Ovis aries: one gene and its partners. The protein of the gene in region 2 interacts with the protein of the main gene of each other region in a biochemical or structural test. Links are inferred from orthologs where the notes say so. Each region holds a gene or a part of one and is shown on either strand. Other genes may lie near its edges.

Region 1 (10,685 bases), on a different chromosome or scaffold from region 2:
GCATTGCCCCATCTGCCTTGCTGTCCCCTGAGGCCTCACCCTGCCGGAATGACATGAACACTAGGACTCTCCCTGATCCCTCAGCCAAGCAGCAGTCAGTGCGCTGTTATCGAAAAGCCTGCAGGTCAGCCAGCCCCCCAAGCCGGGGCTGGCAAGGCCGCCGTGGCCGCAGCAGCCGTTCTGTCAGCTCTGGGTCCACCCGGACCAGCGAAGCATCTTCCTCCTCATCCTCATCGTCGTCTTCCTCATCCCGATCCCGGTCCCGGTCCCTCTCCCCCCCACACAAGAGGTGGCGAAGGTGAGCTCTGATGGCCTGTTAGGTTCTCTCCACTTTCGAAGTTCTCTCCTCTGGCTTACTCTGAAAGCTTTTGCACATTGAGTTTGATGAACTTTCAGGCACAAAGGCTTTTCTATTTCTGTCTTTGGCTTTTGTCTTCTTCCCTTTCCCTGGATTTGAAGGAGGCAAGCTGTGAAAAGATAGCTTCTGTCCCCTGTTGGAGATTGGGATATCTCTGAGATCTCCTGCTTCCTAGAGACCTGCCTTGGGAGAGACCGTTAGGGTTTGGTCTTGACCATGTTGATTCCTTTGAACTGTATCAGTCCTTATTTCTTGTGTTTTCTGGTAGATGTGGGATGGTGGGCCTAGTGGGTTGTTAATGGCAAATAATCCTTCTTTTAATCATCTGTTGAGGAAAGAGTCTGGTGTCCTTTGGGTGTCACTATGGCCTCATCTACTTTGGGGGAATACCTTTTTCTCTATAATAGACCCCAATTTTTCCACTTCATCAGTGAAGAATTCTTGGTTTTTGGTGGTGAAGCTTATCTTCAGGTATGTCGTCTGTTACAGATCTAGCACAGTCACCTCCCCTTAATGCTATAATCATAGTACTCCTGTGAGACATGAGGGGAGCAGGATTCCAGAGACACGGGCCTGCCTGCCCTCCCACCTCTCCCTTACACCCGCCACCCCTCGGCTTGTTGTAATACCTAGGGCCCAGCACTTTATCTCTGAGTATTATTTTTATTCTTTCTGACTTGTTAGATATTCTTCTATTTTTAATTGCATAATTGACAATAAATAAGATCAATGCCCAGATACTCTAGAACATGTAAAGTTCATGAGGTTCTCAGTTTGCTTTTCTTCTGTACCTCCTCTGCTTTTCTCTGCCTTTGGTCCTGAGCTTCCTGACAGGGAGGCAGGGCTGGGGCCAAGGTGAGGTAAATGGATGATATCTCCACTCCTCCATTTCTGTGTGATCTTTTGTTCTCTAGGTCCAGTTGCAGTTCTTCTGGACGTTCCCGAAGATGCTCTTCCTCTTCCTCCTCCTCATCTTCCTCCTCCTCTTCCTCATCCTCATCATCTAGTTCCCGAAGCCGATCCCGCTCTCCATCTCCTCGCCGGAGAAGTGACAGGAGGCGGCGGTGAGCATGTTTTCAGGGAGTTGGTGCATCTGGGGTGCAAGAACCTATGAGTTGAGACTTGAGCTGTCTAATGTCTAGGGGGCTGACAGCACCTTTTTCTCTTGGCAGGTACAGTTCTTATCGTTCACATGACCATTACCAAAGGCAGAGAGTACTGCAGAAGGAGCGTGCAATAGTGAGTAGAGGAACAGGTCCCAGGAGGAGAGGGCTTGTGCCTGAGCCATGACATGAGCTCACAGAGCCATCTGCAGCTATGGCTTCGGCTCATGGTGTGTCAATTTTCCTTGACCCAACATAGGAAGAGAGAAGAGTGGTCTTCATTGGGAAGATACCTGGCCGCATGACTCGGTCAGAGCTGAAACAGAGGTTCTCTGTTTTTGGGGAGATTGAGGAGTGCACCATCCACTTCCGTGTCCAAGGGTGAGGTTGGGCCCTGTGCTCAGGATGTCCTTCCTGTCCTATTATCTGTCTCAGTGCTTTGTCTTTCCTGAATGCTCCAGTGTGCTGGGCAGTGCAGGACACCTTCATCTCTACAATCAGAGGGTTGGCTATTTGGGGAATGAGAAGAAGCTCTCCAGTCCCTGTACCCTGGGGAGCTGTCTCTTCTCCACGGCATGTGCCCAAATAGCCATCTCAGCTTCTGTCTCACCCTCCCCTCCAGTGACAACTATGGCTTCGTCACTTACCGGTATGCCGAGGAGGCATTTGCAGCCATTGAGAGTGGCCACAAGCTGAGGCAGGCGGATGAACAGCCCTTTGATCTCTGCTTTGGGGGCCGCAGGCAGTTCTGCAAGAGAAGCTATTCTGATCTTGGTGAGTGGAGGGAGGCCCTGAGCCTTTGGTATGCTCCATCTCCTCCCTGGAAGAATCCCCAGCCTTTTGAGAGGCAGACTTGTCTTCCTCTGACACATGAAGGGCTTAAAGGGTGGGATGAGAGGAGAAATGGGGGCTCTTCTGTCTTTTGACTTAAAATTCAGGAGATTTTAGCTCCATCCAGTATAGATATGAGAGGTAGCTGGCCATTTGAGACCCTGTGGTTGGGAGGTGTACTCAAAGAGACCTTGATGTTTGTCTCTCTCTACCTTTGTAGACTCCAACCGGGAAGACTTTGACCCTGCTCCTGTAAAGAGCAAATTTGATTCTCTTGACTTTGACACATTGTTGAAACAGGCCCAGAAGAACCTCAGGAGGTAACCCTGGGCCCTTCTCCCCCATCCCCTTTTCTTTGGAGGTGCCCAACCTCCTCCATTCCCCTCCCCCAGTCTAGGGGAGAGAGCTGCTAGCGAGGAGATGACTGTTTTCTAAAGAAATGGAAAAAAAGTGAAATAAAAATGTAATACATCAGATTTTAAGTGGTATTTGTTTTTTATAATAGGCTTTGAAACACATTAACTTGCATTCCTGTGTAAGATGGATGGGGTTGAGGCAGACTAATAAACATGAACTAGAGAGAACTGCCAAGTGCTGTTGTGCTTTTTTCTATGGTGCTGGTGCCACAGAAGTCATGTTTCCTCTCTGAACCCAACAGGGACATTCTTACTTCCATTTGATTCCTAGGACCCCTCTTCAGTTAGGTGCAGAATCCTATTGGACTTGAAACTGCTCTTCAAGAGTCTTGTAGGTGAAATCAGTCATCTAGGGCAGTGCTTCTCAGACTTTGAAAGGGTAGCTAAATTTGGAGATCTTTTAAAAATGCGGATTCTGAGTTATGGGGTGGGCCTTGAGATTCTGCATTTCCAACAAGCGTGGTGCTATTGGTCTGGGAAGGAATTTGAATATCAGGGACCCAGAGGAAGTTCACACCTGTTGTAAATAAAGGTTTTTGAAACTGAGGCTTGTGTGTACCATTGCGTGAGCACAATGCTTGGCATTCAGCAGGTGCTCAGATGTTTAAAGAATGCATGCAAGTGAATAGACCTTTAGGAAAGAGGGACATACAGGAATTATACCAAGGACAGGGGAATGCCTATTTTGAGAAAGGCAAAGAAGTGTATCCTTTGAGAAAGTGAACCCTTACCTCCCTGAGGGGCATGAAGGAGAAATAGTCTAGGGCTAGTAGACAGGATTGTAGGGATTGCTATCTGCTAATGTGAACTGAAATATGGAGAACCTGAAATTAACTTAATAGGCCTGGGCATTGATAAATTTGAGTACTCATGACAGAGGCAGTTGAGGGGTTTTCTAGTTCTTCCACGGGGAGGATTCATAGTGTGGACTGTGACCCAGGAAGTAGAAGGGTTATTTTCAGGATTATCCGTTTGAAGAGATTGCTGCTGTCGCTCGGGTTTATTGCACATCCCCTTTTTCTCTTCATGAAGCTGACGTGAAGCTGTGTAAATAAGGGAGGGTAGAGTTGTCTCATGGGCAAGTCAAGATTGAGGTGGACAGTTTTGAAGATCAATACCTCACCACTACCACAGATAATCTGAAGGGCCCTCGGTAATGGAGTTGGGAGTGCAGAGGTTGGGGTGGTATTTTGAGAAAGGGCCTTCCAGGGTGTTGAAGTGAAGATGGGGAAGAGTGGGAATCCACTGGCAGCGCAAATAGGGGACGGTGGGATATGTGACCAAGTTTAGAAAACTCAAGGTCAGCTCAGGCCCGCCGACCCACGCCTTACTCTGATATCTGAATGCTACGGGTAACCGCTGCACTGAGAAAGGTGGCTCCAGCAGGAAGGCAAGGCGCGGGAAGTCCGAAGCTTTCCCGCCGCCACCAAAGGCGTGACCTCTGACGTAAGGGCTCCGCCTTCACAAAGCAGAACGGCGGGCTCCGCCTTTCCAAGATGGCGACACTCGTGGGACCGGAAAGCGTCCATGGATTTCGCCTTTACCCTGTCTCCGAGAGTGCGCCCGCCCCTTCCGGCGTGTCCCGCGCAGCGCGAGGACGTTGCGTGGGTCCGCCCCTAGGCCGCCTCTTCCGGTTTCTTGAGTCGTGTGCGTCCGCGACGGTAGTGACGCGTATTACCCGGAGGATGGCGGACGCCGGCTTACGCCGCGTGGTTCCCAGCGACCTGTATCCCCTCGTGCTCGGCTTTCTGCGAGATAACCAGCTCTCGAGCGTGGCCAATAAATTCGTCAAGGCAACAGGCGCTGTGAGTCCGGGGCTTGGATCATGGGCTGGGGTGGGATCACCACAGGGCTGCGGGCCCTGGCATGCTTAAGTCTGCAGGTAGGGAAGTGTGCGGGGTCCGCCTGACTAATGACTGCCAGGTCTTTGTGCCGAGCTCTCGGCGGTTGGTGGAAAGCCTGGAGTCTTGGCATCACTTCCACGAGGTCTGGCTACTTAGCGCTGAGTCTTGCTTTTTTCTGGTGAGAGGTGAGGCGGTGGCAGCGTGGGACCCTCGTGGCCTAGGTCACGTAGCTAGCAGAGTGCGACCGGGCGGGAGCGCCTGGTCCTACCGGAGGCATTAGAGGCTCCTGGTAGTGCCAAGCGTGACTTGAGTTTAACTCTCAAACGAATTTACCCAGGACTCAAATAGAATTGCTTTAGAAATAATGAAAACTGAAAAAAAGTGAAAGTTAGTCGCTGAGTCGTGTCCGACTCTGCAGTCCCATGGAGAAGCTCACCAGGGTCCTCTCCAGGAGAGAATCCTGGAGTGGGTAGCCTTTCCCTACTCGGGGGATCTTCCAGACCCAGAGCTCTAATCGGGTCTCCCTCATGCGGGCAGATTCTTTACTGTCTGAGCCACGGGGAAGCCGTTAATGAAAGCTGGGATTTTTGTTACTAAAGAAAAAAATGAACGGGAGTAGAAGCAGGGTTGAGCATCAAGCAGTTGTGGAATTTCTGACTTCCTGCATCAGACAAGTGTAGGTTTGGGAACAGTCTCTGCCACTTTAAAAGTGTATGATCCAGGCAGCTTGCTTAATCTCTTTGAATCTGTTTCTACTTCTATGAGCATGCCATCATTCACTTTATAGGATTTTTGTGAGTTTTAATAACATGATATATGCAAAGTGGCAATACCAGTGCCTGGTGCTCAGAAAGCATCAATGAGTGGAAGTTGTTATGTTGGCTATGGTACCTTAGGATGTTTAAAAAACAAATAAAAGGAAGATGACCAGGAATATGAAAGGTTTGGAATCTCCATCTCAAAGAGATCAGACAAGACTGCACAAAAAAACACCTTGAAGATAGAGTGGAGTGGTGAGGTAGTCCTTAAAAGTGAAAGTGTTAGTCACTCAGTGGTGTATGACTCTTTGTGAGTCCATGGACTCTAGCCCGCCAGGCTCCTCTGTCCGTGGGATTCTCCAGGCAAGAATCCCGGAGTGGGTTGCCATTCCCTTCTCCAGGGGATCTTTCCCACCCAGGGATCAAACCTGAGTCTCCTGCATTGCAGGCATATTCTTCACCATCTGAGCCACCAGGGAAGCTCATATGGTAGTCCTTAGTGGTCTTAGTCTTTGATTAAGAAGATAAGCTTGTTCTTTGTGGTAGAATCAGGTTACACAAGTTATAAGTCAGATCAGCCTCAAAGGGCTTCCTTAAGCTGAGACGGCCTGCCATATGTGATCTGATAGAGCTGCTTTCATATTGGAACTGTTTTGCATTGACTGTTAGAGGCTGCAGAGAGTGTTTCCACATCCGGCTGGATGGAATTGGGCCTTTCAAAAGAATCAGAAATCTTTTTTATGTGACAAAAGCTAATCTTTGTGGAGGGCATACTAAGGGCCAGATGCTAAGCCCCTTATGTGCATTATCTCATTCTCTCAACAGCTTAGTGCTTTATAGTATTATCTATCTTAAAGGGAAGAAAAACAGTATTAGATCAAGTGATTTACTCAGGGTCACACATTACTAACCAGCAGAAGTAAGTTTCACATTTCATCTAACTTTGAGCCTGTACTCTCGTATATACTGTAATGCCTTGCCATTTTTTTTGAACACCAACTCATAATTCATAAGCAGTGTAATTAACAGCTGAATGCAGTTCTGCACTGAATAATTAGCATGCTGCTAAGTCACTTCAGTCCTGTCCGACTCTGTGCGACCCCAGAGACGGCAGCCCACCAGGCTCCCCCGTCCCTGGGATTCTCCAGGCAAGAACACTGGAGTGGGTTGCCATTTCCTTCTCCAGTGCATGAAAGTGAAAGTGAAGTCGCTCAGTCATGTCCTGCTTACTCTTCGAGACCCCACGGACTACAGCTCACCAGGTTCCTCTGTCCATGGGACTTTCCAGGCAAGAGTACTGGAGTGGGGTGCCATTGCCTTTTCCTGAATAATTAGCATAGATTTTTACTAATCTTCTCTTGATGGTTGATTTCCAGTGGTTTGGAATTATAAACCAAGTTGCAGCAAATATCTTCCTGTGTAGGTATTTGTTTCATGGGTAAGGATAAATTCCTGGATAGTACACTGCTAGAATAAAGCAGTGTTTTTAATGGAATGCATGTTTTTAAAGGCTTTGATAAATAGGATTGATAGGCAGGGGAATAGATGATGCCAGAAACTACAGGAATAACCCAAGTTTTTGCTACCGAAAATTTGGAAATACATAAATAGAATATTTTTCTCCTAATTTATACAAGTAGGAGAAACCTTCAGAGATGTAACATTTATATCAGATAGAGCAGACAAAATAAGTGACTTTTAATGAGAGAGTAACACAAAATTTGAACTCCCATAGAATAACCAGGATAAAACTTTCTTACCGTGCTTTCTCTGTCTTTTCTCTTATAGACCCAGCAGGATGCCAACGCCTCTTCCCTCTTGGATATCTATAGTTTCTGGCTCAAGTAAGTCTTCTCTTTGCCAGTGTGGCAGTTTTCTCCCTGTGAGTAGGCTGGGTTGTATTCTTTGTTTTGAGAAGGTCCTGTTCCCCAGAAGTTAGCCTAATCTGCCTCAGCAGGTCCACCAAGGCTCCAAAGCGGAAGTTACAGGCAAATGGACCAGTGGCTAAGAAGAAGACTTCATCCAGTGACAGCAGTGACGACAGCAGTGAGGAGGAAAACCAGGCACCTCCAGCTAAGAAAGCTGGTAAGGCCTAGCAGGGAGTTGTGGTTCCAGGAAGAGGATTTGTAGTCTCCCAGTACTAAATGGCTGATTCTTACTGAGACCCGTATTTTTGTTCAGCTGTACCTGCCAAGCAGGCCAGTCTGCTTCAGCATCCTGGAAAGGCTGCAGTCAAAGCATCCGAGAGCAGCAGCAGCAGCAGTGAAGAATCCAGTGATGATGAGGAGGAAGAAGACAGAAAGAAAAAGCCTGTTGAGGTGCAGCTTTGGGGAGGAAAGGAATTGCTTAAGGGATTGGAAAGAAGAAGTCCAAAATCTTGGCTTTTAGCCTGGTGGTGCTGGTTATAAACAACAGATTATTACGAGGTCTTTCAGAGAGGTTGTAAAAATATGAGGTTTGGAAAGGATTTTGTAGGGTGAAAGTTGAACCCTGAATGTAGAGGAAATTCAGTCCATTCTGCAACCCTGACAGTATTGGGTTTCTCTGGGACACCGTCAAGGACTCCAAGAGTAAAAGATGTTTTGTGGACAGGTGCAGGGAGCTCTAAACAGGGAATGTCAGGAACAAGGCCTAAAAAAGGGAGCTTGCTTTTGTACCTTAAGATGTCCTTTGGGTGCCCTAAAACTCTTGCTGATTCCCCTGGCTTTTCTTACAGAAGGGAGTTAAGCCACAGGCCAAGACAGTCAAAGCTCCTCCTAAGAAGGCCGAGAGCTCTGATTCCGATTCTGACTCAAGCTCAGAGGACGAGGCACCAAAGAACCAGAAGCCAAAGACAACACCTGTGGCAGTGAAAACTCAGGCTAAAGCCCCAGCCAAACCAGGTATCGTTTTTGTTCCCAAGAGGCTAGGCTGGGGACCAGGTTGCTCTGGGGACTGGTGTGAAAATTCCTCATTCACCACAGGGATGAAATGGCACTGGTTATTGAACTAGGGGTATGGACTGGTGTCTTTTTTTTTTAAATTAGGGACTAGTAACTACAGAAATGGCTTGCCTGGTGGCCCAGACAGTAAAGAATCTGCCTGCAATACAGGAGACCCAGGTTCGATACCTGGGTCATGAAGATCCACTGGAGAAGAGAATAACTACTGCCTCCAGTAGACTTGCCTGAAGAATCCCCATGGATAGAGGAGCCTGGCGGGCTATAGTCCATGGGGTTGCAAAGAGTCAGACAAGTCTGAGCAGCAACTAACACTTTCACTTTTTTCAACTATAGAAATAGTGGGCAATGAGGGAAAACATGTTTAAAAGACTTCAGAGGGCATATTCAAATGATTTGCGTCATAAAATTTTTTGGAAGACAGGTTTATTTCTGAACTTGGGCAGGAAATTTATCCTTTGATAATACCACGGTAAACCACAGCCTTCTCCTTTATGCTTGCTGCAAAGGCAAGAGAATTGACAGTGAAGAGCCTAAGCTACTCTATCTTGTAAAAGAGCTCCATTTTGCAAAGGTACCGGGCAAACAGACTTAGACTTTGGATATTGCCTAAACTTGCCCCACTGTGCGCGAGCCAGTCAGCCCTTGGATTAGACCTCCTGACTTTAAGTTCAAGAATTTGTGATTTACCTTGGAAGTAATGAGTTACATTTGTGATTTACCTTGGAAGTAATGATTTACCGTGGAAATGGGAACCAATCAGAACCCAACACCTAACCCTTCCACAGAAGGTAACCAATTAGAGGTCTCCCAACCTGGAAACTCCCGTTTTTCGAATTTTTCGCGCGAGAATACCCTATATAAGCAATATAACCCAGAGTTCAGGGCTCCTCTCCTAAGCCACTGCATCGGTAACGGTGGGAGCCCCAGCTCGAGCTTGGTAATAAAAACTCTCTTGCTTTTCCATCAGATATCAGCTCCCTGGTGGTCATTGGGAGATTTTGAGACTTGGGCATAACAACAGACTCCTAAGTACCAAGCTAATAGGAGGAGGCTTTAAGAAATATTTATTTATTTGGCTGCACCATATCTTAGTTGGTGCATGTGGGATCTAGTTCCCTGACCAGGGATCAGACCCCCAGCTCCCTACATTGGGAGCATGGAATCTTAGCCACTGGACCACCAGGGAAGTCCCAGTTCATGTCTGTTTAAAAAATATTTTTCTTTCTTTATTTCCGGGTGTACTAGGTCCTTGCTGTGTATGGGCTTTCTGCAGTTGAGGTGAATGGAGGCTGCTCCCTTGTGGTGGTGTGCAGGCTTCTTACGCTGGTGGCTTCTCTTGTTGCAGAGCACAGGCTGTAGAGTGTTGGGGCTTTAGTTGTGGCTCCCGGGATTAGTTGTCCCAGGGGATATGAGATCTTCCCAGAACAGGGATTGAACCTGTGTCTCCTGCATTGGTAGGTGGGTTTTTGTTTGTTTGTTTGTTTTTTTACCACAGAGCCATGAAGGAAGGCTGGCAGGTGTATTCTTAGCCACTGGACCACCAGGGAAATCCAGCTCATGTCTGTTTTCAACATACCTGTCTTACAGTTTGTTGAAACAATACATATGTATGTCGGAGTGGTTGGCTGTAAAAACTTGAGCCCAGCTATCATCTGAAGGGTATTCACACCCACCTTATGGTATTTCAGACAGCCAGCTAGCTTAGTCTTCTTTCTCTTATGCTTGTTCTTGGGACTTATGTAAGAATTCTTCCTTTCTTAGTACCATCATGAAGTCCCAAAAGTAAGGTGAAATGTACACTCCTTTTGAATTTTATAGTCAAAGTACATCTGTGTTCTAGTTGCTTGCCAGCAAAGATCAATCTTTACTACTCAGGAAGAATTCTTTTTTATCCTGGATTTTGGCCCTTCATTTTCTGTTGTAGCTGAGGGTTTGACTTCAAGAGTGATGGTCATTCCCCTCAGGATCTTCATGAAATTCTGCATCTTGGCGGCAGTGCTGCTGAAGGTGGCGGGTCCGAAAACTGTCTTTATACTCATGTTATTTCTATTTTCTTAGGTACATCACCTCGGCCAGCACCTAAAGTCGCCAATGGCAAAGCAGCTAGTAGCAGCAGCGGCAGCAGCAGCAGCAGTGATGATGACTCAGAGGAGGAAAAGGCAGTAGCCATCTCTAAGAAGGTATAGGCCTTAATTTCTACCAGGGAAGAGGGGACAAGAGGGTGGAAGTCCTCCATTTCCTGGCAGGATTGGTTGGGTCAATATTTTCCTGTGGTAATTGATTTTCTCTGTGTGATGCAGACCATACCTAAAAAGCAAGTTGTGGCTAAGGCCCCAGTGAAAATGGTTGCTGCACCTGCCCAAAAGAGTTCCAGCAGTGAGGACTCCTCCAGTGAGGAGGAGGAAGAGGAGCAGAAGAAAAAGCCCATGAAGA
Region 2 (10,246 bases):
ATGATTTTCACCAAGTTTTAATTCTTCCAAACTCGCTAGGTCAGAGGTCAATTTATGACAATGGAACTTTTCAGTCAGAAAAAGTTTTATTACAAGAAACAATGCCATCAGATAAAAATGCAAAAAATTGTGCAATTATGGCAAAATGTTTAAAAATATCTACACATTTGCCCCCAAAGGACTACAGTACTTAACTACATACCTGAGCACAGAACATCGAATGCCATTTTAAACTGTTTCACATAGAAAATCTGATTCCTTGCAAGATCACATCCACTTTCTCTCATGCACCAGTGAAATCAGCTTGATGCTTAGGCATCAACTTTGTAGGATAACAGAAAACAAAGATGGAAAATAAAGAATACAATTTCTACTTTCCTATAACATAGTTATACCACATCCAGTTTTCAATGTATAAAAAATACATAGGAAAGTGCTACATACTTTCTTCAAATGCAAAAACAAAGCTCAAGTGGGACTGGCATCTATCACCTTCTATTTTAATTCTATAGTACCCATTATGCCTTTTACTTATATTCTCATCATACTAAGCAAATGTACCTTAAATATCTAAACACAGACCCACACATATTACTAATCCTAGTTTTCTAGAACCTCTTCTGAAATCATCTGAAAAGTGGCAAAATATCCCAGCTATATAATTTAAACAAATAGTTTTTCATACAAAATTCAATATATATTCTATTGATACTTCCATAGCAAATTCCAAACCTTGGCTTTGACACACTATCCTTAGAGCACACCCTCAACATAAACTGTTATAGGATCAATTGTTAGAGGATCAACTGTTGTGCAGATCAATAGAATAAATCGACTGCAGAATTAACCACAGTACATTGTACTCCTATACATCACACGGCACATGTAAATTGTTAATGTTCTAATGTCATGTTTTCAAGTAACACAGTGTTCTAAATAAATACAGGAGATTGTCAAAAAGCGGCAGGAAGTCTCAGGAAGCAACAAAGCTTTCAAAAATAAATTATGGGAACATCTCTTGTAATGTTTAGTTTGGTTTTTCCTCCCCTTGGCAATGCATCACAATGTAGATGCTTCAAAATGCTCACAGAAAAAGCCCCAAAACAGCACAAAGAGAAAGAAAAACTGAGAAGAAAAAAAATAGCTGATTAGTTGACAGTCAATAAGGAGACTATAGACACACTACCAAGGCCAGCAAGAAGAGAGCACGTACCCAGCTTCCCAAGACTGGATTTTAAAATGTCAATTCTCTAAACGCTGTCCACTTTCAATTCGACTTCAGGAAACGTTCCCTACTTGTAGAGGGCTATGACAAGCAGTTTGGAAAGTTTCCGAAAAACGAGGTATGTGATGCAAAGAGGCAATGTTTTTGATTTGTTTCACAGTATCACATTACAATTTGTGCAAGAGTTTTTAATACAAACCGTGCCAGTTTGTTTCTTTAAGGGAATCAAAATGTTCCAGTTAAGGACAGACTCTGGCTATACTTATATCCTTTATTACTTATTCCAGGAAGAGTAAAAATAAGTTACTGATCTAAATATCTGCCTTAGGTATAACACGAGTTGGTTTGTCCTCTCTGTAAGTATTTCCGTTAGAAATTAATCAGTTAAATATGAAAAATGATTTAATACCTATAATGCTATGATTCTATTCACTCACACTTTTCCTTCTCAGTCACCTGCAGTTAGAACAAAGGTTTTCAATGCAAAACTATTCATAACTGTTAAGTGCAAAAACTTTTTTTTAAATGAGGTTTTAATTGTCATAGGTAATGCAAAAGACATTAAATGAGACTATTGCAGGAATTTTATGTTTCTGGAAAACAGAATTTTAAAAGTAGGAGTTAAAACTTCACATTCTGCTCTGTGCAGAAGACAAGTAAGTTACCTTTCATTGTACCGATAATGAATGGACAGGTAAGGATGGAAAGGAGGTTAGGCGACAAATGGCCCATGTTAGTGCAAAATGAGGACAATAGTCTTCTCACTATTCTCAGATTGAATCCAGTTAGACCAGTAACTAGCCATAGCTTGCCATCCTGTAATCAGAGAATCTTGTGAAATCACAAGAGTTCAGCAAGTCAAGTACAATGGCCATGAAACTAACATACCAATTTGAAAGGTAAGCATAGGCTCAGACATTTGAAATATACCTAACTATACACATGAGTTAACTTATACTAGCACCAGCCACCTGTGAATTTGAGCCCTTCTCGGGATTAAAAAAAAAAAATGAGACAGTGTTAGCACTTGAAAAAATTGTCAACACAAAACTACTTTAAAACTTTAGCTTAATTTAAAGAAACATGGGAAATATAAAACAATCCAACTAAAAGCTCTTTCTGAGACTGATTTGTTTTTCCTTCAAACTACTCTAATAACACATTTAAATCCAGTACACGTGAAAACAGTACACAAAATATACACATATTCAGAATGAGGATCTAAGTTAGTGCGTCTCTGTAGCAGAGAGGTCACAGCTAAAGTCCTAGTGATATTGCCTCAAATTTTTACCCGTATTTAAAATAAAAAGTCACATCAAACTATTTTGGATGTCTCTAATCCATAGTACCCTAACTGCTCTTCTAAGAGTGCATAGTTGTCAATTCGTCTGGTATCTCAGTGACTATTCATCACGAAATTCTAGAATGATGTGATTATTTTTATACCAGAAAAAAAAAATGCTGATAATTGCACTTTGTTACCTTTTGCTTACTGAAATGAAAACATCACATGGATGAAAAGAAATCCCTCCCTACACTCATCTTAAACAGCACCCATCTCCACGTGTAAACTCTCTTCAGCTTTCTTAAATACTGACAGCACTTCTTCTTATCACTGAAAGACTAAGTTTCCTCCAGCACAAGATGCCGGTGAGCTCACTAAGGCCTGCCATTCATTAAAGTACTTTCTGAAGACACTGAGGATACAGTTTAGCAACAGCACATTCAAAATGCCGGCCAAGGTCCCAGAGGCGATCTGGGGTCTCATACACTTTCATCCATTGGTCAGTGATATCATCATACTGGTAAAGGGAATTTTTTCTGCTGGTTCTGAAGACATGTTCTTCAACGGTCACTTGAGTAGCTCGAACAAATAAATGGAGCTTATTCTGGAAAAGTACCAGTTTAAGGTATGGGTTTATGGACTCATCACATGGAAAGTCCTTCTTACGAGTCCACTTATTGAGCTCAATATCATAGGCTTCTACAGTAAACATCCGCTGATGATTTCCACAGGTTCCAGCTATGTAGTAGATAGAGTTCTTGTATACAGCTGCTAAGCCCTGGATTCTAGGCACAGTCATGGGGGTTAAGAAACCCCAGTAGTCTTTCTGAGGCTCATAGAAGAGGAAAAACTCTCCTAAAAAAGAGAAAGGGGAAAAAAAAAAGAGAGAGAAAAGAAAACAAGAATGTGAAGATTTAAATATAAGATAGCTTAAAACATCTACATCCCATGGCACAACGTAACATAATATTAGAATCAACCTGATTTGGGGCATTCAAACTGGTAAGTGTGAGAAGTTACTTTGGCTTGATGGCAGTACAAAGGTTAAGAGCTTGGTTTCATTTACTCCATCCAAATATTTGGGTGTTTCAGAAAATTGATTTTAAGCCAGCTCTTATAAAAAGTATTATTACTAATGGTTAGCCAGTAAGATCAAAATATGAATATAGGTTCAATCATGAATAAGCCACTATAAATTTATGTGCTAGTTATTTAACTATAAGGTAGTACATAGAATTGTTCAGATTTCTATGGGCCACTAATGTGTTTACTTTAGAGTTGCTATAAGGCAAAGACAAATATCAAGAGGAGAAAATATGGCCTTAAGCTGATAGAAAACACATACATCATTTAGGGAATTGACTATGAGGCCGTTTCCATTCTGTTTTGACCATGAAAAGGTGTGCTGAGTCACACTGCCGATGTAAAAATGTCGAAAAGAATTAAGCTAGTAAAGATTTACAAGAGCTTGGCTAATTATAACATTAAAATCTTTGATTTGAAAGAATCAAATAAAATCTTTGATATGAAAATCTGAACCCTTTATGATCAGATTAAATGGTACTCCAGTAGCCACTGACAGTAGGGCATGATCTTCTGACTAGTCATGTCAAGTTTATTTATACAAAGAGGCTTTGTTTAGATCAGAAGTACCTACTTCTAAATTGAGCTTCCCCTTGAAAACTGTTTTGAACTAGGTTAACTCCTATCGATAAATATAACTGCCTACCTAATAAAAGTAATGCTGAAAAAATCCAGGTTTTCATAAAACAGTTTGTTAAACTCTCAGCTTTTGCCTGCATATTCCCTATGCTTTTTGACTAAAATGTAACAGGATTCGTAATAAAGAAAACAGGAATGAACACATTTTTACCCTGTAGTACTTAGCTACAAATTTCTTATAAGAAGGAAAGATAATACATTTTAAAAGTTGATTTTTAAACCTAAAGATGACTTTAATAAACTAAAACCAGTAATGGGCAATTAAAACCCTCAGTGCCTCAGATTTGTCTTATATAAAATACAGTCTGATTAAATAATGTTCATTCCAACCCTGAAAATCTGTTAATTCACTGTTACTTTGCTTTAGTATTTAAATTAATATACAACCTTTATATTCCATTTGGGAGTCTTCTAATTAATTCTATCTCTACTAAAAAATAACTGCTTAGCCAGAGAGAGCTTCATCATATTGAATGATATAACCTATCCAACCATATAAGTCAAAGTGTTACTCCCTGAGTGTGTCCACCTCTTTGCCCCATGGACTATAGCCCACCAGGCTCCTCAGGTCATGGAATTCTCCAGGCAAGAATACTGGAGTGGGTAGCCATTCCCTTCTCCGGGGGATCTTCCCAACCCAGGGATCGAACCTGGCTCTCCAGGACTGCAGGCAGATTCTTTACCACCGGAGCCCCCTAGGAAGCCCTATCTAACCATTCTTTATAGATTTTTACATCCATTCAGATACTCCATTTTTTGGCAAGACCAACAAACCTACATCATCCCAGGCTTCCATTCAACTAAAATGAGGCACGAGAAAGTATTCCTTACTCTCTCTGGAGAATTAACTTTACACTGAAGTTTAAACAAATGGGTTTAGGCATTTCTAAGAAATTATAAGTCAAATAAAGGATTACAGCAAAGAACATTAAAAAAAAAAAACTTACAGTGGGGAAAAAAACTAAAAAATCATATGTATCTACACAGAACTTGCACCCCTTTCCTTATTTTTTTAATAGCAGTGAAGGAAAGCATTTATCTATAAGCAGTTAAGAAATGCAAAAGAAGAAGGATGTTGGTATTGTCAATACTGTATTCGGTATTCAAGCAACTAAAATAAGAAACCAAACACAAGGAAAATATTAGCACAAATCAGAACCTTGGATCAAGTATCTTATTTACTGCTACTCAGTTCCTTTTTCTGGTATCTTTACCAAGGTACCAGTTTTCAATTGTTTACACAAAAATTTTTAAGCTAAGTATATTACCATCCCTCTCATCTTATAATGTTAAAAAGATGACATCTCAAAATTTTTCAGTGAAAAAAAATTAAAAACACTGTATTATGGATGACAACATTAACTGCAGTGAAATTAAAATCCTGAACAGTGTGATTTCAAACTCTTTGTAAGTGAGTTTCATAACCTTTGCCATCATAAGACTTCATACAAAATTCTTTGGCAACTGAATAGTACAACTGCATTTGAGGCTTTGTTCTTTTTTTCTCTTTTAAACTAATCCAGTAAGTTCCATAAGAAGAATACTTGCTACCGTCCCTTGATTATATATCATTCAACTGCAAAAAGTTATATATCAAACTTGATTCCTTGTTTAAAGCCTTAAAAATGGAACAGAAATAGTTTTTCTCAAATGCTGAACTATTATTTATGGGGAAAAAAGTTTTCAAAAATACTATGTCACATGATGTCAAAAGACAGTAAGAACATAAAAAAACTTACATGATCATTTTAGGGACTTGAAAGTACCTGCCTTTTTTGATTGAAAATTTTATTTTCTTCACTAGTCCCTTAAAGAACAGACTACTCCAATAAATAACTTTAACCACTCGGGCACCTACCCTGTAAAACATAGATCTTCTCTTTGTATTCCACGGCATTATGAAACTCCATTGCAACAGGCATGGCGCAAACAGTAGTCCAGCGGTTCTCTCTGCTGTCATAGCACTCCACAGATTTTAGTGAGTTTCTCCCATCACCTTCGTAGACACGCCCTCCGATTGCATACATCTTACCACAGCAGTACACCAGTTTGCAGCCTATTCTGGCTCGAAGCAAGGACGGTTTGGAAAGCCACCTATTGGTGGAATGGTCATACATCCAGAAATCATTTTCGGCCTTATGGTCAATGGATACCTCACTGCTGCTTGGCCTGTACCCTCCTGCAATGTAAATATCATTATCTGGTGATACAAGGATTCCAACTTCTCTCAGATCATTTGGTGGTTTGCATAGTTTGAACACTCTTCCTGTGAATATATCTAGACAAGGCACTGTTTGCTTCTTTCCTGAGTGTTTGTGGGCTGCGTCGAAACATATGATCATTTCCGATGCAGTCATTCCAAGTCTCTGTGTACAGCCATTGGGACTGGCTGGTCCCTTTTCCACACAGCTTTTGGCGATAGCCTGTGCAAACTGAGATGGAATTTTCTCTATAAAGGTGTCTTCCATCAGAGGAAAACGTATGCATTTGGCAAAAATTTCTGGAAGGTGCACTTCTCTTTCATTTTGTTCATGTTCAAACCACCTTACAATACTCTCATAAACATGCTCTTCCCGGTCTACATTTAAATCATCACTGTCTAGGATACTTATCAGTTGGTCCTTTGTCAGCTGAAGAAACTCCTGTTCTTTGGTGACACACAAGAACTTTTTACGAATGTATTCTTTAGATCGATCTCCAAGTTCCTGATGACCGTAATGATCAGCAAAGATGAAGACCCCGATAGAATTTTGTGGGTCCAAATGACTGATCATGTACTTGGCACACTGGTCTTGGATGGAGGGAATCTGGAAGATGCTAGCTGCAGTGAACAAGGCTTGAACATTGGCCTCTGTCAGAACAACTCTGGAGGTATAGGCATAGTTCAACACTAAATCCATCGACTCGGCTTCAACACCAACAATTCGAACTTCTTTTTGAGTGCTTTCTGTAAGGCCGCTAGTGAACATGGATCTAGGAAGGAAAGAGTGGTGAATTTATCTGCATTACAAATAAAAATTACTGTCGCAAGTTTGTAAAGAGTTATCACAAGGATCACTTTTTGAAACTGAAAAACATTTCCTAATGTGTTTCCTGATATCCTGAATATCAGGAAAGGGATAAAAGTTGATCATCTAGCAGAAGATTTAATCTGGCTAATCTCAAAGAAACCCTATTCTCAGGGCCAGTCAGTCCACTTTGTGCCAACTCTGAGAAAAGCAGAGTATACCTAACTAAATCAAATCAAAAAGTGGCAAGGCATATTCCAGGACACCTTATTTTCCTTGGAGCCCTATCCAGGCTTCTGATCAAGTTGCTTTAGGGGACTTAAGATCTTCAATCACCAGGTAAGTCAGAAAGTTTACAAATACCTATGGTGTATCAGTGTGACACATTAGCATATAGAAACTGTCTAATAAAACTTCTCATGACCCAGTGGAAATTTACAAGACAACCTGTGCCCAAAATGTATCTTTAAAAATTTTAGCTTAGAAAAATAAGATGTTCTTCAGAAGTTCTTATTTTCTTCCTACTCCTTTTTAAAATATTTATCCTTTGAATGCTTCCTTAATCATTATAAACAATATAAAGCACATCAATTCATCAGTTATCCTTGGATATTTTGAAAACTTTTGCTTGAGAAAATCAAGAAATATACTTGATTTTCTCAAAGTTACCATAGTTTTATCTATTTATAAATAAAAATGTTAGCCTCATTGATGCTCAGTTGTGCCTGACTCTTTGTGGCCCCAGGGACTGTAGCCCTCCAGGCTCCTTTGTCCTGGGATTTCCCAGGCAGGAATACTGGAGTAGGTTGCCATTTCCTTCTCTGGGAGATCTTCCCAACCCAGGGATTGAAGCCCTGTCTCCTGCATCACAGAGGGATTGTTTAACACTGAGCCACCTAGGAGCCCATAAATAAAGATCTGGGTAGGGTTAATATTAATAAAATGACTACTTCTAAAGAGAACTTAAGAATTAATCGATTTGTTGCAATCTGATTTTGTTGGTTTTCAAAAAATTCCAGGTTCTTGTCTTTGAGACCAACCTTTTCTTTTTTAATGTGCTTTTATGGCACTTTCAGGGCTTCCCTGGTAGTTCAGATGGTAAAGAATCCACTTGCAATGCAGGAGACCCCAGTTTGATTCCTGGGTGGGGAAGATGCCCTGGAGAAGAGATAGGTTACCCACTCCCGTATTCTTGGGCTTCCCAGCTGGTAAAGAATCCACCTGCAATGCGGGAGAACCTGGGTTTGATCCCTGGGTTGGGAAGATCCCCTGGAGGAGGGCATGGCAACCCACTCTTGTATTCTTGCTGTAGAATCCCCATGGACAGAGTCAGAATGAGCGACTAAGCACAGCACAGCACGGTACTTCCTTGGCCAAACCATTAAGACGTCAAAAGCCTAGCTTTTTATTTAAAGTGCTAGTCATTTATAAACATCATTTGCCTTTCTTCTCCCTCCTTTGATGTTTCTTTCTAAGAAGTTCTTAAAATTTATAGAACTTTTATAAGTTTAACTTCTTAAACTTATAAAAAGGTCAAAAGCTCTTTTAAAATCCTCTGGAGAAAAGGATGTTATGCCCTAGAATGCTTAATAGATGTCTGTTGAAGATATTGACCTAACACTGGTGATAAACTTGATTATTCAGATCCAGACCTCTCCTATATTAAGTGTGATGTTATGAAAAAAGAGTGGGAAGATTTTCAGATCACTTTTAACACCTTTATCAAAAACATGAAATTAATTTAAAAATGCAATATGTAATATTGGAGTTATACAGGAGTACCTGGACCCAGCTTATTACCTGGGTTAACTATCCTTTGAGTCTTAATTTTACTTCTATTATGCAAAATTTAAGTTTAATATCCTGCACACTTTTTTTTTTTTCCTTGAATGACTGAAAACTAAATGTTCCAATGTATGAGCTGGTTTTTCAATTCAGGTACTGAAAAACTCAGTTATATAGGTCCCAATTAAAAAGAAAAAGAAAGCCCTTCATTATGCAAAGATTAAATCCCAGAGGAGAACATTACCACGTTACCCTTTATCAAGGGAGCTGCTCTACTGACTTGAATAAGCTGGCCTCACACACAGCAGTATAACATGCAAGTTCCCCTCTGTTCTATCATTTCCTTTATGTAAACTCTAATTAAAGTGGGAGTACTTCCTCACACAAAATCCTGAGCAATATGTTTCTAATAATCATACACATTTTATTTCTGACAAGTCTCTGGGATCAGGAAACAGCCATGGCAGATTGCAAGCTATTCTATTTTTTCCATCAGTGATGCAAGATTTGCAAATATTAAGTATGACTTTTTACATCTCACATAAGGTGCAACACTGGTGCCCAAGAAACTTCTGTACAAAAAGCTCTATCAAGTGAGAAGAACCTAATCCTTGAGTCTTCTAGCCAAATACTTTCATTTGACTTCGCCTATCTTATGCTTAGAAAGCCTTCCAAGCATTTCCTTAACTTCTTGGAAAGCAAGAAAATCTATTGTAGCATACTTCTTTCCAAGAGATTTGTCAGGTCCTCAAAACTAATTGTAAGCAAATATGATATTTAAATGATATAAGCCAGAAAATAAAATTACACTGAGATATAAATATTTTCACTTTAAAGTTTTGATTTTTTAATTTTTACTATTTAAATCTAATATACAATTAACACTTCTGTAAATTAAAATTTAAAGAGGACCCACTCTTGTTCCTTAAAAGTTATACAGTGACTAAGAAGCCTGGCTCTGGACTCAAATCCAGCCTCTGCCACTTACTAGTTAGATGATTTAGGCAGTTCACTTAACCTCTTTGAGCCTCAGTTTTTTTTCACTGTAAAAGGGGAATGACAAGAGTGTAGAGATAGGATTATAAAGATTATATAAAGTGACATAGGTAAAATGAGCTTTGCCTAGAGCTTGATAAGCATAACTGTAGCATATATAAACACATAAATGACCTAACCATATCTAATGGATAGCCTAGATAACTGAATCTCACCAGCAATTTT
Region 3 (10,844 bases), on a different chromosome or scaffold from region 2:
GGGTAATTTTCCACTACCTCTCTAAAAAGTCATTTTCACATATTCTATAATGAATATAATGAAGCCTGTATTTCTTTTACAATGAGAAAATATATTTAAAAATTAAGAAGTTACCTTCTATGTAAGTAAAAACCAACAATGCAGAGAATGGTAATTCTTCTGTGGAGCTGTGACCACTGTTGGTTAAAGCACAAACTAGCTGGAGAACGGGGATAGGAGGGGGCTGTGAAGGCCTCACAGGGTGGCCCCTGCCAACGCACTGGAACCAGGGTGCCTGGGACAGCGTACAGGTGCTAAACCTGCTCCCTTCAGAGAGGCAACTGCTGAAATAGCCCCTGAGCACACAGAAGAGGGGCCTGCCAGCTGCTGTCTCTGAAATCTCTCTCGCAGTTCTTCTGAAAATGAAAGCTGCTCTTCTGTTTTTACCAGACTTATCTAGAAGGCTTAAAAAAATGCAGTTCCTGGACTGGAGAGGCTGACTCTCTACATGCCTCTAGACTCTAAGAGCCCATTCCTGTTTTTGTTCACCACTGGATTCCTAGCACCTGGGACACAATGTCTGGCCCAGAGGAAGGGCTCAAATCAAGACTAAAATAGGTATGTGGGGCTCTTACAACCTTCCCTCTAAAAGGACCTGGTCCTCCAAGGGCTCACAGAAGGTGAAGCTGGAGGTGGACTCTCCCTTGGAACAATCCAATATACAACAGCCGGTCCCCGAGAGGTGCAGGGTACTACACCGAGCCCCTGGCTCAGAGACAGGGGCCCTCTCAGCACCCAGGACTCTTACTGGGTTTGGTGGTTTTGGCTTCTGCCTCCTCCTCCTCCTCCTCCTCTTCCGAGCTCTCTGAGCTGCTGATGGGGTCTGACACGCGGGTCCTCTTGGCCTGCAAGGCCGCATCTTCCTCTGCCTTCCGTTTCCGGCCAATCTCCGAAGTTCTGCAGGACAAGGGTGACTGGCAAGCTCAACCAGGGGGCAAGGACAACCCTAGGATAGTTGAAAAGGAAGACCTCCCACATCCTCCCTGACCCCAAAGGGAAAGTGTATAAAGAGACTTTAAACAGTGATGAAACAGAGTGGAGAAACAATTTCGTGTTGTGCATCTTCACTCATTTCACTGTATTTTTACAGTTTATCTTCAAACACTCAGGAAGGGTGGGCAGTATTTTCTAACAGCCGCTAAGAGTCACAGAGCTCTAAGCGCCAGCACTGTATACACTTCACAGAATCATCCAGGTCCCTCCTTCCTTCAGGACTTGTGGCACCCACAGTCACCTCCTCTTGGAAGACTGCCCAGGTCCCTGTTGTCCCTCAGGCCTCAACTGCAGTACAGCCTTCTCGGAAAGGCCTTCCCCAGTCACCACTGTCCTCTAAGATATTCTCCGCCCTGTTTCATTTTCTTCAGAGCACTTTTCTCTCTCCCATCGTTTTACTTAACTTCCTACTTGATGATGCCCCTACTGCATGCCCGGGGAGGGGAGGGCTGGCAGAACCTTTTCCAGCTCACTTCAGTACCTAGAGTACCTAGCCTAAGTCTCACGGCTAACTGACCTGCCCAGAGTCACAGTCTGAGGCTCTGGGGAGGACAAGCACTCAGATGGCTGAGGTGCCAGAATTTTCAAGCACCCCATCCTCTGAGCCCAGCCTCCTGCCCGAGGGGGTCACTGTCTGTGTGCCACACTCTCCATGTGGGACAGATGTCGCTCTGCCACAGTTTGGGATGTGCTGCCTGGCTCCCTTGTTCCCAGGAAGGCCACTTGTTGGGAAATCTACAAAAACATGTTTCATTTATCACACGTATAGGTTCACTCTGCCTCTCTTCTCCCCGTAGAACGTAACTTTCACAGGTGCAGAGATTTTTCTCTTCCAGTTTGTTTCCAACTACATCAAGAACAGTTCTGTCTCAAAGTAGGTGCTCAGTAAACAGAAGCGGGGAGAGGAGTAATGCCTCCACTGGCCAGGTTTAGCACTTTATTTACTATTATTATCTTCATTTTACTGAAGGAGACTAACTTGGGGAGATCAAGTTTGTCCAAGGTCATACAGCTGGGTTTGAACCACCAGGTTAGGCTGGTGGGTGTGAGGTCCTTGTCCAAGTCAGCACCGCTCATCCAGAGAAGGGGCTGGTGGTAGGGGAGGGTGTGAGGCACGGCTCAGTGAAGCACTTCTCTGGGGAAGGAAGTGCTGCACAAATAGCAGACACCTGGGCACGTGGAAGAGGAAGTGGGGGGTGTACCCTGTGCTCACCTTAGCAGCAGAGGAGAGCCAAGAACTGAGGGCTGACAGGGCTTGCAAAGACCTTAGCTCTCTACTGGAAGCTGGGATCCCTTCTCTACCATGCCCGCCTTTGCTTACACACCTCTGATGACAGGGATCTCACCACTCTACTGTAGCCCACCTCAGTTTTGGACAGCTCTGATGACCAACTGCTTTCACTCAGAAGCTGACACTTGGCTTCCTAAAGCAGGTTCACATGGGTCCCACTTCTCTCTCAGGCCCTAGGGAACACCCCACTCCCTTCGTCTCAAAACATGTGCAGATAGTGGTCCCTCCACTGCCCCTCTGCCATCTTTTTTCCACCCAGACAGTTGCATGTTCACTATCATTCCTCATGGGTCACAACTGCAGGTCCTTCACTCCCGTAGTTGGCTGTGGTCAGGCCAGTTCACTGAGGGAGCGATTACCCGCTCCTTCATTTTCAATCCATTCCTCTGTTGATAAGTCCTTGGATTATCCCCTCTCCTTGTTTTGCGTGTTTCACAGACATTTCACATTCAGCATGTCTTTGAAATCTTTCCCTCCACGTTGGGTTCCTTCCATTCAAGCATACAAGTCAGACACCTGGGAGCTGACTACACTGCTTCTCCAAACCATCTGCAGACCCTCATCTCATCCTCTGGTATTCCTGCACACTGTCTCCCTCGTATGTTATTCCTGCCTCAAGCCCTAGCAGCTCTTGTCTGGAGGCTGATATCCACAGCCTACCCAGTCGAGCCAGCGACCTCACCACTCTTCACTTCACCCGTCCATGGTTCTCAGGGCAAAGACACAACTTCTCCTTGTGGGTGATCAGGCCTGTCATGGGGTGGTCCCTGACGATTGTCTAGTCTCGTCTGCACTGCACAGCAGTTACAGCCTCAGACCAGCAGCTCCCTCTGCCAGCTACACTCCATCAGCCTTTCCACACCTATTGCCGAGTTCACCTCCCCACTCCTGCAGTTCTCAACTCAAAGGTCACCTCAAGGAAGCCACTCCTACACACCTAAATGAGGTGATGCTAACCTATTCAGGCAGTTTTGGCCCCAGGCACCTCTTTCATAATCCTCACCACCACTGTGATTTTATACTCATTTGTCTCATTCTCTGTGGCATGCTTACCTCCCTGACTCCAGTGTCAGCTCCAGGAAAGGAGCCACCATGCATGTCTCATTCATGACAATATCTCTGTACTGAGAGCCTGGCATTCAGCAGTTACTCAATAAATGCTCATTGACTGAATGAATAACAAGCTGCCAAGAAGCTCTTGTCCTTCAGAGACACTGCTCACAGTTCTCAGTGTCCTCTCTACTAGCAGACAGACACCCATATCTGTGGTGTAGCTTCCTAGAGGTGATAAAAGTATCTACAGTGGGTTACGGGGACAGATTTTAGACCAGATTAGTATCCTAGCTGATTTCATGCTGAGAGCTTGGGGTGTCCTTCTTGCACTCCCTCAGCCCCATTAGACTTACTGTTGCCAGTGTGTATAGATGTCCAGAAGGGTTACAGGCTGACTCAGGAAAATTTTCTGCAGAGAAGCAAAGAGAAAGCAGCAATTAACCCTCCTGAGTACAGCAAGGTTCCTCCTTGGGCCCCACGCTCATGACATCATGAACCACAGAGAGATGGTTGAGAAGGGGGTCTTTCTGCTCTGGGCAATACGTCTGCTCAGCCCTGCCAGGACCACCCGAACCTTTCAGAGACACACAGGGCAAGTACTTCCAACTAAAACCTTTTAAGACAATATTCTGGTGAGAAGTACCTTTGACAGAGTAGAGTGGGAATATTCCAAGCTAGCATTTATTCAGCCCCCAGCCTCCCTGGCACTCTCCAGGCTTAGGTGCCACAAGACAGGGCTTTTTCCACCCCTGACCTTTCAAAAGTCAAGCTGGTCAATTTCCCCAGGCAGTATGAACCACAGACTAGACAACCACGCTGTCTGCTCACCCACTGGGCAGAGACTGGAACCAAATGGTGCCAATCCTTTGGTAGAAGCAAAGCCCTCTGGAGCCAAGATCAGAAGTCTACTCTCTGCAAATGTCAAGAACCTGGAGTGTCAAGTGCCCCAAGGAGGCTGAGTGAGTAATGCAGGGCCAGGGATTTAAGCAGAGTGGCCAGGAGGGTGCATCTAGGGTCAGGCAAAGAGAATTAATTTGTTAACTGGATAGTCTACTGTCTTCAGCTCTTTAAAGCTGCAGGTTCTTTCTTTATATGGGGATAACAGCAGTACCCATCTAAGATGCTGCTCTCAGGCCTTAAGGAGACAGTCTACAATAGTAACTGCACAGCACAGCAGCCAGTAACATTCAGTCTGTAACTGACAGTGACTAAAAGTGTCAGTTTCACTTTCCTTGGCCCCAGGCACACTGGCCTCCTCACTGTCCCTCAAATCTGTCAGGGGACTCCGCCCCCATCGGGGCTGGCTGTTCTTTCTGTCTTGAATGCTCTCTCCTGCCAACTATATGGCTCACTCCTTCACTTTCTTCAGGTCCTCGCCCCAAAGTCACCTTCTCACTCGGGTTTCATGACCACCCTATAGATAATTTAACTCTGATATTCCTTATCCCTTCTACCTGCCTTATTTTTACACCTAGCACCTACCATCACCCCATACACTGTATCATTAACTTAAAAAAAAATTCAGTCATTTGTCTGTTCCTGCTGGAATATATGCTTCATGAGGGCAGGATTCTTTCGTCTAGGCAAATGCCCCAAAGAAGATAGGTACTCCCTTTTGTTCCCTGTAGCTGGTAAGTGATATAACTGAAGTAAGAAAAGCTACCGAGGTCCAAAGATTGGGAAAAGCACAGATGATGTCTTATTTGTCATCCTTTAGTCTCTCCCAGAGGTCCTGAGAGAAAGTATCATGACCAGAGCCTACACCATAGCCAGACAGACACCGACTAATCAAGTCAACAGACACCACACCAACTTAACACCTTCCAGTGGCTTACCACTACTTCACCAAAACCAAAGGAAGCCCACTTCCTGCCTCTGTCTCCCCAGAGATCTCTGTCACCCTTGTACTCCATACTTCAGTCACAATAAACTTTCTGGCGGCCAGTACATATGCAACACTTTGCATTCCTACTTGGAACATCCACTTCCTTCTCTCAGATCTCAAAGTAGCATTCACTTCCTCTGGAGAGCAGGTCTGGATATCCCTGACTAAGGCGATCTGCCATTCCTGTCTTAGCACCCTATGCTTCTCATTCTTGGCAGTTAATGCAGTGCTGAGTGCACAGTTACTTTTGTGGTCCTCTGATTTATGTCAATCTCCCCTAGCAGATTTAGCCTGTAAACTCTAATTAGTAAGCCAAGGGACCCTCCTCGCTATTCTATCGCCAGCACCCTCACTGCCAGATTAACAGCTGCTTGAGGGATGGATGAAGTAAGAGCGACTACACCACGAGTTCAACTCCCAATTAGTACAGAAAAGCTGCTAGGGGCTTGAGCTCCAGCTCAGTCAAGCAGCTTCAGGCCCCTTCTCGGGCGCTCTTTCGCTCCTTTCTGGGCTGGTAGCGATTCTCTCCTCAGACTCGCAGCAACCTTTTCGCCCTAGGGGGCCGCGCCGAGCCACGTGGCCTGATACTTCGAAATTTTAAATTGTCGCTCCCGGAAGGGGGTGGAGGTAAGGGGCGCGGGAATTATAAAGCCCAGAGCGTTCGGTCTCACTTCCCGGCCCGCCCACTCCACAGATAAGGAAAGTGAGGCCCAGAGGAACTGGGAGCCACAGAGGTGCGGGGCAGAGGTTGCGGCCCCTTCAGCACCCCGGGCCGCGTCCCAAAGCACAGTGGGATCCGGGATCTCGGCGCCCGCAGGCCGCCAGAGGAAGAGGCGCGGGCCGCCTCTCCATAGATCTTGCACGCGGCCCTTGGACACGGCCCGCGCACGCTTACCTGGCCGCTCTGCTCCTTCACTTCCCGCGCCGCACGCACATAGCCCGCCTGCAGCAGATGCTGGTAGATCAGGGGAAGGAGCTCCCGCCGCTTCCTGGCCTCAGCCATGCCCGCGACCCCCGGCCTGTCCGTTCACCTGCACGCCCCCCTCAGTCCCCGCCCGCCACTTCCCTTGTGCCCTTAGACCTCGCGACCCCCACTTCCGGCTCCTCCTCCGCCCGCCGCGCGGCACGCCGGGAAGCGTAGTCTTATCTCCAAAGGTGGCCGGCCCCGCCTCCGCGGATGAAAAGGGAGGAGGCATGGGAGGCATTGAGACCGCCTATTGGCGGGGAGGGCGGGAGTCGGATCCGGACTCGCCCCCTGGGCCGCCTAAGATTAGAATGCCTCCCTCTTAAATCCTTCAGCCTCGCTCCTTGAAGGCATTTGTCTTCCTCTTAGCTGTGTGACAGCTGTGATCGGATTTTACTCATCTCTGAATATCCTATTCTCCAGCTCTCTCTAGACTCGAACTTCCACTTACCCACTCATTTAATCATTTCACAAATCTTTTTAGAACGCATGAACCGGTGCTATTTGTCATCGTTCATTCATTCATTGAATAGTTATTGAGCGCCATACCTTCGGCAAGCGCTTAGGCTAGGCCTGCGGGATATATAAGATGTGGCAGCTGCCCTCAAAGCTCACAGGGAAGAGAGAGGCTGGTAATCGAGCAACTATGGTTCAAAGTCTTCTGCACATTGTCTGGGACAAGCACAGCCTATGGGAGAAAGGAGGGGCCCCTAACCCCAAGAGGGTATCTAAGCTGAGGCTTAAAGACAGAATAGGAGTTTCTAGGTGCAGAGGAGAGGGCTGGCATCCCAGGCAGAGGGCACTGCATGAATATAGACAGGAGAAACCACTTCGGTACAGGCCAGGAAACCCAAACATAAAACGCCGTCTGTGCTGCTGGACTGTTGAGTTGGAGGGTTGAGGGAACCAGTGTGGATGCAGAAGGATGGACAAGTTAACAGGGCCTTCAACACCCGCTCCACCTGGTCAGAGTTTGCACTTTGCTCCAAGGGCAATAGCCAGTCTCTGTCTGATTCTATGCAGGAGGGTGACTTGGGTTTGTGTTTTTTAAAGATTGCAATGGGGACTTCCCTGGTGGTCCAGCGGCTAAGACTCTGTACTCCCACCGCAGGGGGCCTGGGTTTGATTCCTGGTCAGAGAAGTAAAAACTGCATGCCACAACTAAGACTTCTCATGCCATAACTAAATAGTCCACATGCCTCAATGAAGATTGACGATCCTTCGTGCTACAAAGACCCAGCACAGCCAAAAAAAAAAAAAAAAGATTGCTATGACCAACGCATAGAGGATGGATTTTTGGAGAACAAAACTGGATGAGAGGGTGCTGTAGTTGTGGAGAGGAGATTGGCAGGGAGAGGGTGAGTTAGGCTGGGGAATATTTGAATCAGCTATTCTTTTTTTTCTTTTAACATATATTTAAAATTTTTATTTGGCTGTTCATTTATTTATCTATTTGGGTCTCCTTATTTATTTGGTCTTCTGCGCTAGGCCATCATTGCTACCCGCAGCCTTTCTTTAGTTGTAGTGCTTGGGCCTCTCACTGTGGCAACGGCTTCTCTTCCTGCGGATCAGGGGCTCTAGGGCACTCTAGGGTGTCAGAGGTTACGGTATGTGGGATCTAGAGCATGGGCTCCGTAGCTGTTGGTACACGGGCTTAGTTGCTCCCCCAAAACAGGGATCGAATTCATGCCTCCTGCATTGGCAGTCAGATTCTTAACCGCTGGACCAACAAGGAAGTCCTGAACCAGCCGTTCTTAACTTCATGTGTCCATCGAGAAAATGAAGAGAGCAAGAAGCACCTAACGTTTGCTGTAGAAAATTCTAAAGGTGTACAGACACATAACGTTTTCCGTCCAATTTTAGGATACGGGGTAAGCACATACCTGACCACCCTAGGCTTAGGAACGATTGCTCCAGGAAGAAATAGGGACAGGACCAGGTAACTGATGGAATATGGTAAGTGAGGAAGAGAGGGGAGACTAATCTACATTCAGCTATTTAGCAAATATTTATTGAACAACTACTGTTGGAAATAAAACTGTCTCCACGCCAACAGAGCTTATAGTTCAACGGGGAGACGTAACCTAACAAATACATATAATTTGTTACATGCATTTTGTTATTTATATTGTTTTTGTTATTAAACACATACAAATACATTGTTACAAGCGGTGAGTAAGTGTAGAAAAGAAAAGGATAGAGTTTTTTTCTTATGGAAGAGGAGTATTTAAAAGCTATGCTGGAGTCATTCTGCCCAGGTTCAAACTCCTGCTTTGTCTCTTATTAACTAGGTGACCTTCGCTAAGTTACATAACTTCTTGGTGCCTCAGTTTCTTCACTCATAAGATAGAGGTAATTATAGTTTCTACCTGATAGGGTTGCCATGAGGAGTAAATGAGTTCTAAGCAGAAACGCACAGAAAATTTCCAAGAATAGTACTGCACTTGTGTGTCCATTAGCCGTCACCATGAAATCATCTGACAGGATGACAGGATCTATCTCTGCTTGGGGGTCAGGGAAGGATTCCCTGAGGAAGTGATCTTTGTGAGGACCTCTGAACTATGTGAGGGGAGAGTGGGGTAGGGGGAAGAATCCTAGGCAGAATAACGGACCTGTGCAAAGGGCCTGAGGTGGAAGGTACCACTGAGAGAAGAGGTGAGAAAATGCCTTCGTGACAGGGCCCAGAGGGAGCGCAGGGGGATTGGGGAGTTTAGAAGGAGGGCAGAGGCAGGTTCTGTATCGAGAATCTTTCTCTTCATCCTCAGAGATTTAGGAAGCCACTGACAGTGTAGGTCCAAGAAGGATAGGATGACATTTGCATTTTAATGTGACCCCTGTAGGCAGAGAGTGGAATGGGGTGTGTGTGTGTGTGAGTAGCTGCAAGATGACAGGTTAGGGTTAGGAGGGCAGGCAGGCATCCGGGGAGACTATCACAGGGGTGGTGCTGATGGCAGTACAGGTGGAGGGCTGTGGAAGGTTCCAGGTATCAGGAAGTAAAATCATCAAAGAGATGTGTGGGAATGGAGGGGATGGAGAGTGAGTGTCAGGATGACCTCTGAGGTTTCCATGAAAACAGGCAGTGGTTTTTCACTGAGATGGGGAAACCTGAAGGTGAACTGGGAGGAGTTGCTTGGGTGAGTGATGATGGGAGGCTGTGGAGGGGGTCATGAAAAATGCAAGTTCCACTTTAGACGTGTTGAGCTTGAAAGACCTTTGGGACCCTGGAGGTAGATGTTGCATAGGCCTGGGTTTGGAAGCACACGAGGATGGGAAGTTGTCAGGAGACAGATGATCACGTGGCTGTGGGGGAGGCCCAGATTGGCCAGAGAGAAGAGAAGGTGCCCCAGGATGGAGCTGTGAGGCACACCCACAGGTTGTGGCTGTGAAAATGAGGGTGTACCTGCAGAGGCTGCAAAGGAGGGCCCAAGAGGTGGGAGAAAACCCAGGAGAGTGGGCCTAGGGAAGGAAGCCAAGGGAAGGAAGCTGAGAGTTTTGGGAAAGTGGGGAGAGTCAAGGGGCAATGTTCTGAGAGGTCAGAAGGATGAGGATGGGACCAGTGGCTTCAGTTACTGACAGTCATGGGGACTGTTGGTGGTGGGTTTAGGGAATACTGTTTGTGGAAAGTGATGGAGAGGGTCAGATGGCAGCGATCTGATGAGTGAAGGAGGGGTGAGGGAGGCAGTGGGTCTTTTGAGAAGTATTTGTGTAAAGGGGAGGGGAGAGATGTTGTGACGGCTCCGTGTGTGTGTACGTGTGTGTGTGTATGTGTGTGTGTTGGGGGAAGTGAAGTGAAGTCGCTCAGTCGTGTCCGACTCTTTGCGACCCCATCGACTGTAGCCTACCAGGCTCCTCTGTCCATGGGATTTTCCAGGCAATAGACCTGGAGTGGATTGCCATTTCCTTCTCCAGGGGATCTTCCCAACCCAGGGATCGAACCCGAGTCTCCCTCGTTGTAGACAGACGCTTTACCATCTGAGCCACCAGGGAAGTCTCATGTGTTGGGGGAGGGGAGGTATGTTAGAAGGTGGAAGAGACCTGAGTTTGTTTTCAGGCTGATGGCAGATTGAGGGGAGAGATTAATTAAGGGTGTGGGAAAGAGGGGAGGCAAGCAGTAAGCGATGTTCACAAGTGTGCGCGAGGGGATGGGATCAGGCGCGTAGGTGGAAGGGCTGGTCTTGGAAAGAAGGAGGGATGACTTCTCTAAAACCAAAAGAGGGAACAAAGAGAGGATGGTGCAGATGTAGATGTAGGTTTGTAGTGGGATGTTAAGGGAGATTTCATCTTCAGCTTCTATTTTTTCTGCAAAGTGGGAGGCAAGGTCTGCTGAGAGTGAGGGAGAGAAGTGGTGAGACTTTTGAAGGAAGGAGGAGAGTGTGCATTCAGAAGAGCAAACTTGCCCACAAAATTTCAAATGTCCTGTCCTGTTGGCTGGGGGATTTCCCCACTGTGGCTCACCAACCCACGTACAAGCAGGGGAAAGTCCTGGGTGAGGTTTATCCAGGCCCAGGGCTGTGCCGGATGGGTGGAGAAAAGGGCATAGGGGTCTAAAATGTTGGCAAAATAGATGCCTAACCTTTGGGCCCTGGTGTCTAGGCTGGGCAATGTGGAAAGTGAAGACA

What was found.
Region 1: the proteins of KBTBD8 (region 2) and NOLC1 form a complex in vitro, tested with the Homo sapiens proteins (2 studies listed by BioGRID). The link is inferred for Ovis aries from reciprocal best matches to the Homo sapiens genes KBTBD8 and NOLC1.
Region 3: the proteins of KBTBD8 (region 2) and TCOF1 form a complex in vitro, tested with the Homo sapiens proteins (2 studies listed by BioGRID, with this or other methods). The link is inferred for Ovis aries from reciprocal best matches to the Homo sapiens genes KBTBD8 and TCOF1.

What each region holds. Positions count from the first base shown.
Region 1 is NC_056075.1:22,590,638-22,601,322, forward strand, and holds the start of NOLC1 (nucleolar and coiled-body phosphoprotein 1), read left to right. Parts: upstream 1-4,371; 5' UTR 4,372-4,393; coding exon 4,394-4,513; intron 4,514-7,098; coding exon 7,099-7,154; intron 7,155-7,264; coding exon 7,265-7,395; intron 7,396-7,491; coding exon 7,492-7,628; intron 7,629-8,026; coding exon 8,027-8,192; intron 8,193-10,310; coding exon 10,311-10,432; intron 10,433-10,552; coding exon 10,553-10,685. Other genes in the region: PPRC1 (peroxisome proliferator-activated receptor gamma coactivator-related protein 1), read left to right, coding at 1-298, 1,273-1,422, 1,531-1,597, 1,721-1,842, 2,084-2,387. UniProt on the Homo sapiens protein: Nucleolar protein that acts as a regulator of RNA polymerase I by connecting RNA polymerase I with enzymes responsible for ribosomal processing and modification.
Region 2 is NC_056072.1:34,570,739-34,580,984, forward strand, and holds the end of KBTBD8 (kelch repeat and BTB domain-containing protein 8), read right to left. Parts: intron 7,206-10,246; coding exon 6,091-7,205; intron 3,366-6,090; coding exon 2,902-3,365; 3' UTR 68-2,901; downstream 1-67. UniProt on the Homo sapiens protein: Substrate-specific adapter of a BCR (BTB-CUL3-RBX1) E3 ubiquitin ligase complex that acts as a regulator of neural crest specification.
Region 3 is NC_056058.1:59,467,425-59,478,268, reverse strand, and holds the start of TCOF1 (treacle protein), read right to left. Parts: upstream 6,315-10,844; 5' UTR 6,265-6,314; coding exon 6,157-6,264; intron 3,786-6,156; coding exon 3,730-3,785; intron 937-3,729; coding exon 788-936; intron 1-787.